Ovis aries: one gene and its partners. The protein of the gene in region 1 interacts with the protein of each later gene in a pairwise test. Links are inferred from orthologs where the notes say so. Each region holds a gene or a part of one and is shown on either strand. Other genes may lie near its edges.

The links.
Region 2: the proteins of FEZ1 (region 1) and PDCD7 interact in a two-hybrid assay, tested with the Homo sapiens proteins (2 studies listed by BioGRID and IntAct). The link is inferred for Ovis aries from reciprocal best matches to the Homo sapiens genes FEZ1 and PDCD7.
Region 3: the proteins of FEZ1 (region 1) and HTT interact in binary tests that used the Homo sapiens proteins (3 or more experiments, as listed by UniProt). The link is inferred for Ovis aries from reciprocal best matches to the Homo sapiens genes FEZ1 and HTT.

The regions. Positions count from the first base shown.
Region 1 is NC_056074.1:26,390,970-26,396,867, reverse strand, and holds part of FEZ1 (fasciculation and elongation protein zeta-1), read left to right. Parts: intron 1-3,594; 5' UTR 3,595-3,639; coding exon 3,640-3,950; intron 3,951-5,898. UniProt on the Homo sapiens protein: May be involved in axonal outgrowth as component of the network of molecules that regulate cellular morphology and axon guidance machinery.
Region 2 is NC_056060.1:12,044,743-12,050,640, forward strand, and holds the end of PDCD7 (programmed cell death protein 7), read right to left. Parts: intron 3,809-5,898; coding exon 3,572-3,808; intron 3,309-3,571; coding exon 3,221-3,308; intron 1,585-3,220; coding exon 1,461-1,584; 3' UTR 438-1,460; downstream 1-437. UniProt on the Homo sapiens protein: Promotes apoptosis when overexpressed.
Region 3 is NC_056059.1:116,333,538-116,339,435, forward strand, and holds part of HTT (huntingtin), read right to left. Parts: intron 5,846-5,898; coding exon 5,719-5,845; intron 3,903-5,718; coding exon 3,802-3,902; intron 2,978-3,801; coding exon 2,823-2,977; intron 2,550-2,822; coding exon 2,410-2,549; intron 1,921-2,409; coding exon 1,838-1,920; intron 1,404-1,837; coding exon 1,276-1,403; intron 1,175-1,275; coding exon 1,045-1,174; intron 1-1,044.

The DNA of each region.
Region 1 (5,898 bases):
CCCAGTGATCATGTTTCTGAACTCCAGAGTGAGTGGTGATATCCATTTCTTCTTTTATAATCTTCTAGGTGAATCCATTTTCTCTAAAGCCTGTGCTGAGGACAGGTGCTTTCAGAATAATCTTCCTTGTTGCCATCACTCAAAACTCAGTTGTAGTCTTAGATTCCTATTGGATTGCCCTCTCGTTACTGGTTGATGGGATAGATTCTGTTGTTTGCAGTCAACATCCTCCTTGGTATACCTTCTCATGCCAGCTCCCTTGTCCCCTCTAGGAAGAGTACAGATTTAAAGGAAGTGTGAATATTTGGAATACAAGCTGGTTAGCTTTCATGTCTTGCTGAAATGGAACCAGTGATCTGAGAGGCTTTGACCACATGAATTGAAAATAGCAGGAGTGCCTTAGTAAAAAGCATGGTAACATTCATTCAGCGATAGTTCTCTCTTTTGATAAGCATTTTGAAGCATCACACAGGGAATATCTTGGCAAGGATAGTTTTTCTTACTTGAAGCACTGTCACCTCACATTTTCGTGTAACTATCTTTGCTTTCCTAATATTATTGACATTTTTGGACACTTCATGTATTCCATACATTATGCTTAACACTTCAAAGATTGTCTCATTTACTGCACAAAGAAACCTCCAATATAAGTACTATTGTAAATCCCATTTTACAGATGAGGAAATGAAGTCAAAGAGGTTTATAATTTGCCCAGAGTCTCAAAGCTGGGAAGTGATAGGACCAGGATGGGAACCTGGGGCTCTCTCAATACAAATCTCTCATCTGTAAACCTTTCCTTAATTTCTGTCACACTGAGTGATCTTTTCTAAACTCACTCTTTTGGCACTCAGGGATTCCTAATCTTTTTTGTGAGATGAGCCACTTTAGCATTGTAGAGGAGCCCGTTGGGATCTTTCTCAGGATATGATTTTATCTCTCTTCTTTTATTTTTTTTGGCCACATTGAGAAGCATGTGGAATCTTAGTGGCCCAACCAGGGATCAAAACTGCCCCCGGTAGTGGAAACTCACAGTCTTAACCACTGGACCACCAGAGAATTCCCTGAAATATGCTTTTAAATGCAAAAAAATGAAATGTGGTATATTCAAAGAACCCTCAGGAGTCTGTTGACCATAGGTGAGGAACCTCTAACTGGCAATTAGTTGTGTATTACTTAATAGTTGGGGTGTCTGATATGGTAGCCACTAGCCATATGTGGCTGGTGGACACTTGAAATTTGACTGATCCAAATAGAGACATAATGTGAATGTAAAATGCACACTATATTTTGAAGACTTAGTATGAAAAAACAGTGACAAATGTCTCATTAATATTTAAAAATTTGGATTAGATATTGAAATGGTAATATTTGGGATATATTGGATTAAACTATATTATTAAAATATACAGTTAAATTATTAATTATGTTAATATGTTATTAAAAGTGACTTCCAAAAGTATTAGCTCTATACCAACACTTTTTTTTCAACACTTTCTTTTTAACAGTTGAGGAAATCAAGACCTACAGTACTTCTCATTCAGTCAGGCATTGGCAGGTCTGTTGACTCTTGACCCTGTGTTCTTCCTAAGCTGTCATACTGCTTTTGTATCTTTTTGTATTTTGAGGTCTTATCACGTTGGCTTTGCAAACTATAAATACTCAGAATGCGTTTTGTTGAGATGTGGTGGTAACTGACTCAATCCCAGTAAAATCCCCGGAAGGACTGTCCAGGTCCTTACCTGGCATGCCATCTGCCTTGCTTATGTAGAATTTTAGTTTTAAAGGTAGGGGTGCAGGATGGTTTTTGCTCTCTGTTTGCTTCTCCTTGGGTAGTGGTTCCAATTTAAGCATCTGGCTGGATCAGTCATCACACAGATAAGAGACAGAAGTTTGGTTGCCTTGCTGTGTTCCAGGGAAGGAAACGGGAGTAGGTAGAGAAGGGCATGGTAGACAATGAGCTTGTGTTGCCTGCAGTGGAAAATGAAAACTCTGTGAGGGGGACGGAAGATCATTTGTCAGTGAGCACACATTGATTGATTGCCTCCCCGCAGGCCGTGTGTGCTAGAAACAGTGGAGGGTATCCAGAGGATGTCCGTGTCCTCGAGGAATTTAAATTAAAATTGGGGAAGGGCTTGGTTGTATACATACAGATGGATAAATCACAGCTGAAGGCCCGGAGCTATTGGGAAATGAAGGGAGGCCTGAATGTACAGCCTTCTGGGGTGCAGTGCCCCAGGTTGCTGTGAAGTCTGGCTTTGGAGGACATGGGTCATTGGGTCTCTCTCTTACAGGTCACTAATCCACTCTTCTAGTTACAGACATAAGCTGTGTATCTGGAAAAAACTCAGGTGCTCGTATGAAAGTCTGTATTAGTACTCTATTAGTCCACCGTTTATTGATGAGAGTAGTAACACCCAGGTCCATGAAGCCCTGTCCAAAACCCCTGGGGCCAGGCATGTTTCAGAATTGAGATGATCTCAGGGTTTGGAATTTAGTAATAGAGTGCATAGTCTGCATATCATCCCCTGGGGGCTGGGGCAGCCATCTCTATAATTTTTTAAAAAAATTAAAAATTTCTGCAGCATAATACACTAAATGGGATACATTAAAACCATAAACAGCTCTATAAGCATATATATCAGGTTTAGTTGGCAAATGAGTTTAGGTCATGGCAGGTTTTGCCACCAAATAAGTAATGGAAAACTTCCAGGTTATTTATTTGTTTTGGCTGTGCTGTACCACATGTAGGATCTTAGTTCCCTGACCAGGAATCAAACCCATTCCCCCTGCGTTGGAAGTGTGGAGTCTCAACTACTGGGCCACCAGGGAAGTTCCTTTTCAATATTTATTAAAAATTTTAAAAATTGTTTATTTGGCTGTGCCGGGTCTTAGTTGCAGCACGCAGACCCTTAGTTTTGACATGTGGGATCTAGATCCCAGGGATCAAACCATGGCCTCCTGCCTTGGGAGTACATGCAGTCTTAGCCACTGGACCAGCAGGGCAGTCCCACAAACCTCCCAGTTTCGAGAGCACATGGTTAAGGATGTGCTATGTTAATCATCACCATCACAATACAAAGAACATAAATTGAACAACATCATCGTTTATTATCTCCCAGGCACTCTTCTAGGCACTCCTTTAACCTTTAGGACAGCCCTTTGAGGTAGGTCCTGCTATTATTTCTGTCTTAAGGAGAATAAAAGAGGATCAGAGAGAAGTTAAATTACTGCTGCGATCGCCGCTGGGCAGGAGCTAAGGAGTGAGCCGATGCACGCCTCGGCAGCCTGGTCTAGGGGGCCTGCCTCTTTAACCTTTGTTAAAGTTAGGCTTTGTTTTGGGGGGCAGGGAATGGGAGCAGGTGTGTCTCCAAAATGCATGCTTATTAAGTTACCATTATTCACAATGATAATGACATTCGCACTCCTTAAGGGTATAACAGTGAGGAAGCACAGACAATGGAGCCAGTAAAGCAAGGTCTTTGTTTTTAGGGGCTGAGAGTAATGAGTGATTATGTAATAAGTGATTGTGGCTCCTCAACAGAGCTGGCAGAAAAGCCCAGTCCAAACTCACATTACCGTGTCTATTTCTTCCAGATAAGCGAATCCTGAACATTGCAGTTTTCTGATTGCTGTGCAAGGATGGAGGCCCCACTGGTGAGTTTGGATGAAGAATTTGAGGACCTTCGGCCCTGCTGCTCGGAAGACCCCGAGGAGAAGCCCCGGTGTTTCTACGGCTCATCTCCCCACCATCTCGAGGACCCCTCCCTATCTGAGCTGGAGAATTTCTCTTCTGAGATCATCAGCTTCAAGTCCATGGAGGACCTGGTGAATGAATTTGACGAGAAGCTCAACGTCTGCTTTCGGAACTACAACGCCAAGACCGAGAACCTCGCTCCCGTGAAGAACCAGTTCCAGATTCAAGAGGAGGAGGAGACCCTGCAGGATGAGGAGTAAGGCGTCTCAGTTGTTCCCTGTTGTCTCAGATTAGAGCCCTGGCGTCCGGCGCTCCTTGACATAGAATGAGTTTCTATCCTTGGGTTTATGGTGTATTACTTATATTTTTGTATCAGTGAGACTGCACCCTGGAAACTGCTAACCTCGTTCCATTATATCCCTTTACAGTTGTCACCTGTAGAGTTTTCTTAAGTTGAAACCGCAAAGGAATAAAGTATTTTTAGGAAAGAGATTTCCCTAGATACAAAATCAAAATTCAGGAGCATGGGAAATTTGGGGGTCTGTCTATTTTCAGCTTGCTTTATATCGTAACAGTCCATCCAGATATTAGAGATAAGGGCAAGAAAAAAAAAATGAACTGAGAGGAACTATGTTGTTGAAACAATTTTCTTTACAAAACACCAAAACTGTGAAAATCTCCAAGTTGTTTACACCCCCTCAGAACTGGAAAGATTATCTGCAAAAGTTAAGTCCAAATAAGAAAGTATGAACATTGAACCAAGAGATTGGGGACTTACCCTGGACAAAACAAAAATGATAAGCAGGTGAAATGGCTTTTGAGTATTCCCTGTGTCACTTAATAGTCACCTTCTGGGGTCTTAGCAGAAGTCAGGAACAAAGATTTGAAAAAAAGTGCTGTTCAAGGAGGGACTAGAAAGAGGAGAGGGTGTTTGTTATATGAATTAAAGGTATTTGGGATATTTAGTAAAAATAGGCATAAATTCCCCATAGGGATAAAATATGCATCAACTATTCTTTAGGGATCACACAGGAAATGTCGAGTAGTTGGTAGTGGAAATTTCAGTCAAAAGAGCAACTGCACTTCTGGTTTCTCTTTTTTATGTGCTTGGGTGGGAAAAGTTGCCCATAAGTAAGTGGGGGAAGAAGACCCCTTCTACAGCAGGGGTCCCCCACCTACGGGCTGTGGACTGGTACCTCTTGTCAGATCAGCGGTGGTATTAGATTAGAAATAAAGTACACAGGAAATGAAATGCGTTTGTCATCCCCAAACCATCTTCCCTACTCTCGGTCTGTAGAAAAATTGTCTTGTACAAAATTGGTCCCTGGTGCCAAAAAGACTGGGAACCTCTGCACTACAAGATTGAACCCGATTATATTTGGCAGATAGTTGCTTATCTGAAAACTACTGAGACCGTCTGTCTGTGAATATTAGGGCTGTCTGTCTGTCTGCCTTACTCGTTATTCTGTCTCAAGTATCTGACACAGTGAGTGGTATGTAGTAAGTGATCAAATCATGTTTTTTGAGTGAATATTGAATGACCTGGATGAGCAATAATAGCTAGCCTCATAGGTACACATAATGCATTTCCTCCTTTTCTTTTTAATTAATGCTAGCCTGAAGGTACGATCACAGAGGACATTTCACTCTGGTGACCAATACTGTGACTGTGGGCTATGTGTTTCAATTCAATTTTAAGTTTCAAGCTGATTTTTTAGATTTGGAGCCTGTTACAATTTGCTCAGCTCCTCGAGGTCAAAAAAGAATGTTTCTGGGGCTTTATTATAATACAGAGCTTCTTTGACCATAGTTCACTGCAGCACGCAATGGACTAGAAACACTATGAGCTGTCATTTTCACACTCTCACTAACTCACTGTGTGACCTTGGGCTCATCGCTTAACTCTGGTTGAATGTGATGGTGCTCATCTTTGGAACCTTTGGAGCTCAGTTTCGATGAGGCAGGGCTAAGGACTGGCTAAGAGCCTCATTTCTCACCTCACCCAGGCTGTGCTCTGAAAATTCCTTTTGCTTCCAACAGATCATGTCTCCTTGTCTAAACCACCCTCTGCCTCATTAAGGACAGAGGTTCAACAACCAGGTTCTTACCCTTTTCTAGCACATTAGCAGAGGCCACTCAATGTTAATTACTGTCACATGGGATTATTGGTCTTATCCTGATTTCTCTGACTTGCCTGCCTCATT
Region 2 (5,898 bases), on another chromosome or scaffold:
CAGCTCACCAGAAAATGGTGGAGACTTATAACAAAAGGGCACACAGGCCTGTGGGGTTATGTGAGCCTGACCACGTCAGATTCTGAGGTTTATGAACTTAAACACACTTTGGAGGAGTGATGGCACTCACACCCTATCTGTTAACTCTGTAGTGCTTAATATAGAAACTTAACAGTGCAAATAAAACAGGGACAAATGTGTTAGTTAGTATCTTGTACCCAAGTGCTTCCAGTTACATGAAATCACTTCCAAAGTTGAGGTGTCCTTTCCTGCTTATCCAGAGCTGGATTCCACATACAAAGTCTAGTGCTTGAGGTTTGCCTTCCTGGAGCAAATGCCTAGTTACTAAATGTGAACTTTATAGTGTGTGTGTTTCAGCAGTGAGAAAGTGTGTACAGTGATTTCGGAGGCAACAAATTGAGGGCAAAGGCTCAAACTAAAAAAATAAAAATAATATTTATTTAGCTTTTTGGAAACAACACAATAAATGACAAAAAAGGAAAACCAAACAAAAAACCTGACAATGTTATATGATTGGTCATCTCCAGGCACAACAGCATTTATTAATGAATATAAAAAATAAGTTTTATTATTTTAATCCACTTCCCCCCTGCCCCCCACTTCAACTATGTATATAATTTTGGAAGCTTGAGTTCCTAAGAAAATTCCACAATTTCCACTCTACTGGCTCCCACAGGGTGACTGAGTGAAGTTGATCAGGGTCGTAATCCCATAAGGAAATTAATTTTTATCGCTGGGGATTCTGAACATCCAGACCTTTAGGAACTTAAGAAGCAGGTGCTTTCATTAGGATCCTTCTAACATGGGGGACATGCAGCCAGCATCCATTAAAACACAATCCAGTTTGGATACAAGCACTCGGCAGGCTTTCCAAGTTCTCCACATACTAGCAGTGAGGCCACCAGCTTTTCTGGCAGCCTAGCCTCTCCAGCTGCACCAAAAGTAGAATTCACAAAACTGAAGATAAAGCCTTCCTTACTTTTCTTCCTGGAAGTTAGGAGGGTCTTTGGGTAAGAAAGGTAAGGAGATTTTGCATCAAGCTTACCTTAACAAGCAGTACTGGGGGAAGGACTGCTACCCAGAGCACACCTGTGCCGAGGATATGCGTGTATAGTGTACTTACCCATTACCACGCGAGAAAGGTACAAGTAAACTTGCAAGTCACTCTAGACGAAGCCCCTCAAAACAGAGGCAAATTCGGTGAACCAAGGCCAGTGCCTGTCATGATAACCTCAGTCCACCTGGGTCTTTTCTTGAAGAATCATATTAATCTCCCGATTCAAGAGGCACCTCTGGATGAGACAGAGGACAGAAGGAAAATGTACCTTCTCGGTAGGGCAATGCCACATGGAGTTTGCTCTGTATCACAAGATGGCAGCATCACTGATACTTAGAGTTGAAAAGAGCCTTGGCTGGACGACACTCCTGTAACATCTTTACTAATGCAGCTTAACAGCGGTTGCCCAGATGTCGTTGCTGGGGAGCGGGGGAAGGACCCATCCTTGAGGAATGGAGCTGCCTTTGGGATGATCAGATGGCACCAGGTACTGATCCCAATCATGCCTTAATAAGAACATTGTAGAACAACTGTTTATTTCTGTCTTATTTCAAGCAAGATGCTAGCAACTAAGTATTCTATTTCAGGACTCTGCTCTCAAACGACTTATATGAATCTACTAATGAACTTAATTTCTAGAAATTATGCAAAAGACTACTTCTTAATGTATATACAAATGGGGTAAAAAAAAAACTCCAAAGAACTCGTATTTTACGGATAACCAAAGAATGAATATAGCGTCAATCATCGATTCTGTTATTTGCAAATTTGCCTACTCACTAAAATTTGTGTAACCTCCCAAATCGTGACTCGTGGTGCTTCCACGGTTAGCTGCTGACACGCACAGCGCAGTGAAAAGCCTGAGTCACCAAAGGGCATGTTCCCAACTGCAGTGGGACACAGTGACACTCTGCCTTCTTGTCTTCAGCTCCCCTAGTCTATTTAGTGCAACACTCTTCACATTTTTGTGCCTTTTATTGGCATTTTGTTGTTTAAAATTGCTCCCAAGTATAGTGCTGGAGTGCTAAAGCTAGCATGAGGAGGCCATGATGTGCCTTATGGACAATATGTGTATGTTAGATAAGCTACCTTCAGGCATCAGTTATATGTTAATGAGTTCAATGTTAATGGATCAAAAATATTAAATAAGGTGTCTTTTAAAAAAGAAAGAAAATTTATATACTGATTGGTTGATGAAATGTTATGGCCAGAGGCTCACAGTAATCTATTTTTCCTTTAGGAGCAGGAGTTCAACATTCTCTAACTCAGCATTTGCAGCTTTATAGAATAGAGCTCCTATGAATAACGAGAATCAACTGTAATATATTTAAAGGCTAAAACTTGTATATTAGCCGGAAATACACTTTTCCCAGAACACTGCTGAACAGCATTGTTGGACCTTTGGAAGGATCCTCAAAGATCACTTGATTTGGCAGTTTTTCAAACTGGGCTTTGAAGACCCTTAGATCCAAGGAGATGCTCTGGGGAGTCTAGAAAGAACAAGGTGCTTCCAGTCACTAACAGATTTAAGCTGCCTGTGGAACCTATCCATCCATTCATTCTGTTATACAAACTGAGTTCTCAAAACACTGCATCTGGGAGGGTACTGCTGTTCACATTTGAAGGCCACAGTCTAAGCCTCCATTTGCATCTTGCAGGTAAGGGAAGCGAGGCTCAGAGCTAAAAACTTTACCCAGCTCATTAGTAACTGCAGATAAAGGTGAGACTCCTTGTTCCTAGCTCTCTTGGGTTTGAACTCACAAGTCAGTCTGGGTCTTAAACAGTCTCCACAAGTAAGTAAGCACACAGGAAGGGTTTCTTTTCCTTGGCCTGTTTAGCCACAGAAGAGAATTAGGAAAAGGAAGTCAATGTTTTAAGTCAACATAACAGCTATAGCATGGGATAACACAGAGGGCAAGTCACAACCCGAGTTTCAGTGTCTTCACCTGTTAAAATAGGGACATGTACTTCTCAAGAGTTGATGAGGACTAAACAAGATGTAAGTGGCACCCTTCGAACTTGGAAACAGTACATAAATTCATAAGAACTAAAAAAAAAAAAGATATAGTAATAGACCCCAACAACATAAGCACTGCCTGTTGCTACCTAAGGGAAAGAAGACGTGGACGATGCCCCTCTCACCTTATCTGGATGAGTGCTGGCAGGGAGTGCTCAGCTTGGAGGTAATACTGCCGGAAAGGCTGCAAGAGATGGGCGAGCGGGAACTCATCTGAAAAAGAAAAGGCACCATGCCATGTCATGCTTAGCGTGCAGAGCATATTTCTCAAGGCAAACTGACTTAGTCTATGATTATACAATAAGATCAAATGTGTCTCACCTTCAGCCCTGATTTCCAGGATATAGTTCAGAATTCAAATCCTAAAGGTGTCACCTGTCATCTACCACCTCTTAGCTTAGGTGGAGATCATCCATGAACAAAAGAGCTGTCAATCTAGTATTTTTCTTTTCTCTACTGGCTACAGAGAAACTTACCTAGATCCCCAAATAACTTGGACTCGATTTCATGCTTCTGAAGTAAAAATTTCTCTTTTTCTTTCCTCTGTTTCTTTTCTAATTCTCTTTTCCTCTCTTCCTCTTGTTCTCCTTCTAACATAACTTGGAGGGCTCTCTCTTCAGCTTCATAGAGTTCAGAGCGCTTTTTAATGAGTTTTCTCAGTCGCTGAAGGTGATGCTCAAAAGTCTCATCTGCTGAGGCTGGAGGACAGACCCCTGGGCAACAAGATCCAAAAGGTGTTTAGATACAACCTCTTCTTATCCCCAAATCCATGTTCTAAGGAGCAGACTCAAAGTCCTACTTCCAGTATGAGTTTGGTTAGAGTTTACAAATTCCAACCAATCTTCGAGACTTAATTTGACCTTTCTGAGTCTTCAATTAATTTGACCCTACCCTGAGTTTCACTAACTCCTCTTTCTGTATCACACCACTTAACCTTTGATTTTGTTTATTTCTAATGTTTTTGACCCTTCAGCTGGACAGTTCCTTTATTAAAGGGAGGAACTTTTATTTCTTCATTGTAAAAACAGCACAGACACCTAGACCCAGTTAATAAATAATTCTCCCTCTGATTGAGTCTGAACTTCTGAGAGTGCACACTTGAGCAGTGAGAAAGAAATACACTTAGCCAACCGCAATAACCTCACAGGCTGCTAATGAGCACAGCACGGCCAACTATTTCATTTGCCCAGTTTTAGCACTGGAAATCCAGTGTCCTGGGGATGGCTGGTCACCCTGATTTGCAGGTCTGATTCTTTTCTCCCTCAACTACTGCAACTAAATGGCTGTGGAATTCGCTCTATCTTCATCTTCAAGGCTAATGGTTCTTCAGATCATTTTGTTAGGATTTCTTTGCTTGAACAAGTTTTCATCCACTCATTCCCACCTATGGAAACTCTACAACTCAAATCCATCTTCTACTAAGTTGATAATTATTTACCAAATACACACAAAATTCTTATGTACTGAGAAACTTAAACTGTCATTTTGTTGCTCTGTAATGAGTTTATGGTTTTGTTTCATTTCTTGACCTAGATCAAGGATTGACAAACTTTTTCTATAAAGGGCCAGACACTGAATATTTTAGGCTTGTGGATCATACAATCTCTGCTACTAAAACTGAAATCTGCCAGTACAGCAAAATATACAGCTAATCCATCAGCCCCAAAGTGCCTCCAGACCCATGAGAAGGTGAGGCCTGTTCCCATCTCAATTTGCTGGGCCACACCAGCCACACTCACATTCCTCAGCCTTTCATGGATGACTTCTCACTACCCCGACACATTCTCTGAAATGGCACTTCCCACCAACCCTCTTCCAGATCCCCTGCACTGACATGATCTGGGTTAGATGAGATCCTTCCACTGTCTACCATTACTTCTCTAGTTCAGGCAGCTCCCAGATACCAATGCCTTCTCCCTTATTCCCCTTTATTTCCCTTGAGGCCACCCATGCCTGAGAGCCTCGCCCACTCTTCAGACCTTGGCATAATTAGAAAAAAGATTCCACCCTTGAGGTCTTAAATCCAATTATTCTCTTCTCTGGCTTTCTACCTGAGACTCCATTAGTTTCACTAAAACCTCCAATCTGGGAATTCCTTGGTGGTCCAGGGCTTAAGACTCTACACTTCCATTGCAGGGGACATGGGTTTAATCCCTGGTTGGGGAACTAAGATCCTACATGCCATGCAGTACAGCCAAAAAAAATTAAAAACAGACAAAACAAAACAAAACCCAAACTAACAAAAACACCCCTCCAGTCTATCAGATTTCTCCACACTGTGTGGTCACCCATAAAGCAAAACGCCAAGAGCTCTGTGCTCTGTGCTCACCTGCCAGATGCACGCCCGTGACTGTGTGACCTGGTGCCAGCGTGCACGCTCGTCAGCTCTGCCCACAACAGCACCTCTCTGCAGCCAGATTCCCATGCATCTCTGGTTGGCTCTCATTCGTTTCTCACAGCAACTACTTCAAACCGGCAACTGCTCTCCTAAAGCCTTCCTTCTCTACTCTAAGCAACCCATCTAGCATTTTCCCTAGACAAAAAGAGGCCATCGGGCAGGAAATTCCTTAACATTTTTTTCCCCTGACTTTGCTCATTTGCCTTACTACCCATCCTTGCCCTCCTCATGTTCATTCCAGTGGAAAATGGCTCCTTCCCCACTGATGTGAATGCCTCCATCCGGGCTCTGAGTCTCCCTGCTTCCTATAGGACCTCAAGCCATCAACTATCCCTCCTGCTTCCCTTCACAGGCAAACTTTTAGTAAGCTGGACTCACTGTTTGCTTTTCTGATTTCCTATTTCC
Region 3 (5,898 bases), on another chromosome or scaffold:
GAAGTGTGTTGGAGGTGGGGGCTGGCTGGTCTTCAGGGCCCCTACCCTGCCCAGCTGAACAACTCAGCCAGCAGGACTTAGGCCACCCATGGAGGCACGCAGGCCTCTCGGGGTCACGAGGTCAAACACACCTGTAGCAACGCTGACTCGACCTGGCCCTCTCTCGCACTCAGTGCTGTTTTCCAGAAGTTGCCTGATGTTACCAGACTGAACACTCGGGGGAATGAGAACCCAGGGAGTGCTGATGAGCCAGGTGCTAGATGCAAAGCAACTTAAACCTTGACACTGTCGTTACTATTCTTAAATAGACAATCTTCTTTTTTGTCATGCCGTGTGGTTTGTGGAAACAAATCTGGGCCCACAGCAGTGCTGAGTCCTAACCACTGGACCCCCATGAATTTCTAGTAACTTGTTTTTTTTAAGATCTTTAGCAGTACTTGTAGTTTGCTGACTTCTTTGATAAAAGTCAATTTGCAACTTACAAGTTAAAAACGAGGTTCTTAAAAATATCAACTTGACCAAATATGAAACCTTTAAAGGGATACTGAGAAAAACAAGCTTGAAAAAAAAAGAAAGTCATTCCCAAAAGGAGACACCTTTAGATAAAAAGAACAGTCCAGTCCCGGGTGGCCCTCCTTCTGGACGTAACCCACGTGACAAGAAGGCACCGAGTAAGCGACTTTTCAAACCTCTCAGGTGTGACTTCAACACTGCGAGGACTAACAGGTGCTGCACACAGGAAGCTACACTTCCTGGTGGCCCCTCCGAGCTCCCGGACGTGAAGGACTCTGAGCCCAACCCCTGGACAACAACCGCCCGGATGGGTGCTTGGCTGCTGGGGAGGTACGTCTGTCACAGGCCCGAGGAGACAGCGCTGCGAGGACAGGCGGTCCCGTGCCGATTCCACGATGTGGCCACTGGGCTGGGGCGTGCCTGCCCGGCTCTGCGCTGTGGAGGCAGCCCCTTCCCTGGCCTGAGAAGCACTACAACATCCCGAGTCTCCGCGCGGGGCCCGGGCACCGCAGGGGCGGGCAGGGCACTCACCGAGCGCACCACCTCGCTGATCAGGGTGACGGGGGTCCTCCTGGCGGAACTCGATGGCAGGATCCAGCGACTGTACAACTCGAGCAAAAACTGCGAACAGGAGTGGATATCGACTCCAGCCCGGTGTTTCCTGCAATTTCCCCCGAAAGAGATGAGAGGTTTGTTTCAAGAGGCCCCCAAACAAGGGACTGGGGGGAGCTCCCGCTCGCTTGGACAGAAGGCAGAGGGAACCTGGAGTTGAGCGGAGACGTGGGCGGGGACGACGGTGCTGGGGCCTCGGCCTCCTCCTCCTCCTCGTCCCACTCCTCCTCTCGCAAGGGCGTGATGCTGTTCCCCAGCCACACCGAGTGGATGGACACCTTCAGGAGACATGGGATGGGGTGGTGCTCAGGTGCTGGAGGCAAGGGGCGCCGGGCCTACTGGGGGTCTCTGAGGCAAGCACCAACCCCCGTCCCCGGGCAGGGCTAGTCAGACCCTCAGGGATTCGCGGCTTAAGACCCCAAATGACGCCCCTGGGAGCAGCTGAGGAGGGGGAAGCGCCACTAAGAAAGGGAACGTTGAGAAAGAAAAAGGAAACTTGGCTGCTGAAGGACGTCAGGGTGAGGTCTTGACACAAAATGGAACCAGAAGGTGGGATCTCTGTTCTAAACCGGTCCTCTCACCAGACAACACGTGTGGGCCCGTGTTTCTGAATGATGTAACAAAGCCCCCTACCCACGCAGGGGACAGTCAGCTAGCTCTGGAGGGAGGGTGGGGAGGAACCGGCCCCGCTGGCCGCCTGCCGGGCACTGACCTGGCCAAGCTTGTAGCTCATGTCCCCCAGCTCACGCTCAGGGTTGAGCTGCAGCAGCAGCTTGTCATGGCTGATGAGAGCACCTGCAGGGCAAGGATGCATGAGTGTCCCCGCAGAGTGGGGAGTCCGTCCCCGCACAGCTCTGAGTGCCCCCTCAGTGGGGAGTCCGTCCCCGCACAGCCCTGAGTGCCCCCTCAGTGGGGAGTCCGTCCCCGCACAGCCCTGAGTGCCCCCTCAGTGGGGAGTCTGTCCCCGCACAGCCCTGAGTGCCCCTCAGTGGGGAGTCCGTCCCGCACAGCCCTGAGTGCCCCCTCAGTGGGGAGTCCGTCCCCGCACAGCATATGAAGCTGCAGGACCAGCAGGGTGATGAGAACTATCACTTTTTCTCCATAACAAACCAGACTGAACGGGAACTGGCTGTGGGCTGAGCTGCAAAAGCTGGAGTGTTAGTGGTCGCTGACAAGGTGCCCACCGAGCCCCCACCCTGGCACTGGGACAGTCCAGCCGTGCTCACGGGCACAAGGAGCGGCTGACACCCCCACGCAACCCACCCCCCCACGAGCCCCTGGAACCTGTGGTGGCTGGGGCTAGAGACGGGACGGGGTCCCACGCCTGGTACAGGTGGTGAGTGGCGGCGTTTTCTCTCCTGGAAACCATTGCCTGGATCTCCTGCTCGACAATCCCTCTGATGACACTCAGCTTCCTTCCAAACCTAAGTTCAGAGCAAAGGTTACCGGCACCCAGCTCCTCCAAAATCTTCAAAGTGAACCCCCTGACTCCCAGCTTCGCTGCCAGGAAACGGTGCAGCCAAGGCCCTCGGGCCCTGCACAGGCGCCCCCTTAGCTCCACTGGAGCCGGCCCCCGACACCAGAGGCCAGGTCGTCAGCCTCAGCCACCAAACCACCCTGGCAGCAAAGGAGAGGGCGCCCCAGCGCCTCCCTGCTCCCACGCGGCCGTGCCCTGGGCACGTGCTTCCCGGGCCCACCTGGTGTCGAGGGCCTTCAGGGGCTTGTTCCGGGGCTGCTGCTCCAGGCAGCTCACGGCCGGGTTGCCGGCCACGGGCACGGTCATCGCGCTCAGCACCAAGGAGGTGATGGCCTGCACGGCCAGGACGTGGATCTGCGTCCTCTCCACATCCTCCTGGAAGGAGAGCCCCAGGTTACCAAGGCGCATACCGCAGCACACTACCTCCCCTGGGGCTGCCTAGCCAGGCGGCCTCACAGGCACGGGCCCCGAGCGGACAGACAGATGTGCCTTCCCGGCGGGGGTCCTGGAGCATCTGCCTAAATTCACCAGAATCCACACACATCTGTGATTTGAGATAAATCTGATGGGCAAGTGGTTGCTTTTCCAAGCCAGCTTTCCTCCAAGCACAAAGCTCCAAATATGAATTACTTCTTAAGAAACTGTCCTCAATCTCCTCACCGATTTTAGGGGCCCTGCACAGGACGAGCCGCTGGCTCCTCTCCGGCGAACGTCACTCCTGGTGACGCCTGACACACACACTCTCTGAACCGCCACTTCTGCCGCTTCACACCACACCTTCTATCTGAAGAACGCGAACCTGACAGCTTTTAATGTTTCAGGCTTTCCTGTATCAGAGCACGTCTTCTTAAAGTACCACAATATGCACTAACACTCCAGGCCCCATAAAATTTTTGGAAAACAAGTCAAGAGAAATCAACACTAGTTATCACGTGTGGCCTCTAAGACACGCCTTTCCTTTTTGATGAAACGTTGCTACACACCATACCTGGATGCTGAGCAGCAGAACGTGAGATACATTTAAGGAAGGACACAGTCCTGCGGCCTGCAGGCAGCACGCTGTGGTTAACGCCTTTGGGCCATGATCCTAGAGCACCCAGACCTTGGAACACCGGCCAGGATGTGACTGGCCACCCGTTTACCACCCGGGTGAGACAGGTGGAAGGGCGTGCTGCCCTGGACCCTGCGCGCAGCCTTACTTCCTGGGGGCTCTCCTCCTGCTCCATCACGAGTGGCTGAGTCACCAGGACGCCGAGGAGGGTGGCCCATGTCTCCTCAAACTGGGTGCGGCTGGTCCACCCTGGAACGCGAGTGTCGCTTTAGACAGAGGGTCCCCACTGCTCTGCCTTCTCTGCGAGACGGGGCAGTGGGCACCGTGGCTCTCGCTGGCCAGGTGCCCACACAGCCACTGCCCAGAGCCTCAGGACGGCACTGCGGTGCAGCCTCACTGCCGGCCGAGCCCAGTGGTGAGTAGACCGACACGGCTGAGTTCAGCCCAGGTGGCCTGGTGCAAAGCACCCTCTGGACCCTGCTGTGTGGATGTCTGAGCGGGTGACGCTCAGATGGGGTCAGAGCGCCCTCTGCCCTGCTCAGCAGGGGCTGGGACAGCCTTACGTAGAGTCACACCCCCAGCCCGTGTGGGTGTGTCCAGCCTCCACCGTGGAACCACACCCGAACGGATGCACGGGCTGCCATGTCAACTCTACGTCAGGGCAGCGCCATCGAAGCTCAGAGCAATGGCTGCCCTGGCCCCTCAAGAAGGACGGGAGGTCGAGACAGAGTGTAATCTATGGGGGAAGTCCAGTCCGTGAGGAGGGCGTCTCGGGGGCCATTCTCAAGCACCACTGTCCCAAGGCGCTCCCAAGGTGGTCCTGGGTGAGCAGTTATCCCAAGGGCCGGGACCCTAGGAGGGAGGAGGCCATGCCACTTGAATCAACACTACAAGGGGCAAGAATGGGGTGCCGAGGACAGAAAACCAAAGCCTCAAATGTCAGGAACTCTCTGGTGACCTGCACATGGACAGACAGAGCGGCTGATTCAGGTATGGATCAGACAGACACACAAGCTGAGACGGGAAGTCCAGACAGACACGCGCTGACTCCCGTGGGAGGAAAGGGGAGCAACAAGGACAATGGGCAACAGCGAAGCAGGCGTCCGGAGAAGCCTGCAGGCTGCCTCCAGGCACGCGGGGACTGACTACGCAGACGGGAAGGTACCCGAGACACAGGGGCACGGGGGTCGGGCGGGCTGCGGGAGGCGGGGGGCCGCTGGGGAGAGGGCGGGGAAGTTCCGAAAGCAGCGGCCTCAGACTGCTGCTCAGGCTTCGCTCACCGCTCGACTCAGGGAGGAGAGGTGGCAGCGCGGTGTCTGCCGGCCCACGCCCCAGGGTCATCGCAGCACAGACCCCATGGAGGCTGAGAGAGGACGGGCGCTGGGCGGAGGGGCCCGACGTGGGGCTGGGGCCGCGGTGGAGTCGCCACGCTGGGCGCAGCCTCCCAGCCTCTGCCACTGACAGCGCTCACGCACCAGGCCTACCCCCAGCCACGACACGTGGACGAAGAGGGTAAGCTTCTGCTACGCTGCAGGCAGCAAGGCGGCGTCCTGAGCGAAGCCTGGGGCCCTGCTGCTGACGGGGACGCCGTGCATCAGGGCCCCTTCCGTTTCTAAGGTTGCAGCAGTTGTGGGAAACAGTCGCCACCCTCATGCCATGGACGGCAGAAGCGCAGTCCTAGGGGTCAAAGTGGCCTGCCCTGCCTCATGGAGCACACCGCTCTGCCTGGCACACAGGGGTCAGGGTGGCAGTGATTACAGGTGGCTCCCGCAGGGAACCCCGCACCCTCCAGCCGAGGGGCGGAGACACAGGCTGAACCCGGCTCAGTACCGCCCATCAAGGGGGCACCGCCTGACCTGATCTGAACACGGGGAAAGAAACGCTCTCTCACACACACATGCACACACACTCCGTTACCGTGACAGCTTTGTGTGTATTACAGAACATACGCACACGACTGTGTCCTGCCTCAACTCCTCCCTGGAATAAAAGAAGGCAGATCCCACCACCGCCCCGGCTCCCGGCAGCTGTGTTAGGGCGATGCGCCCACAGGGCCCCGGCCTACCCAGCGTGTTGATGCGGTAGATGAACTCTTTAAAGACCTCCTTCTCCTGGAGGAACTCCACGGGGATCTCAGGGAACACTGTGCCGAAATCCCCGCCCGGTTTGGGTGACCATCCGAGTTTCCATACCTAAGAGGGTGGGAGAGAAACAGTGAAGGCAGGGTGGCCGGACAGGGAGGGCA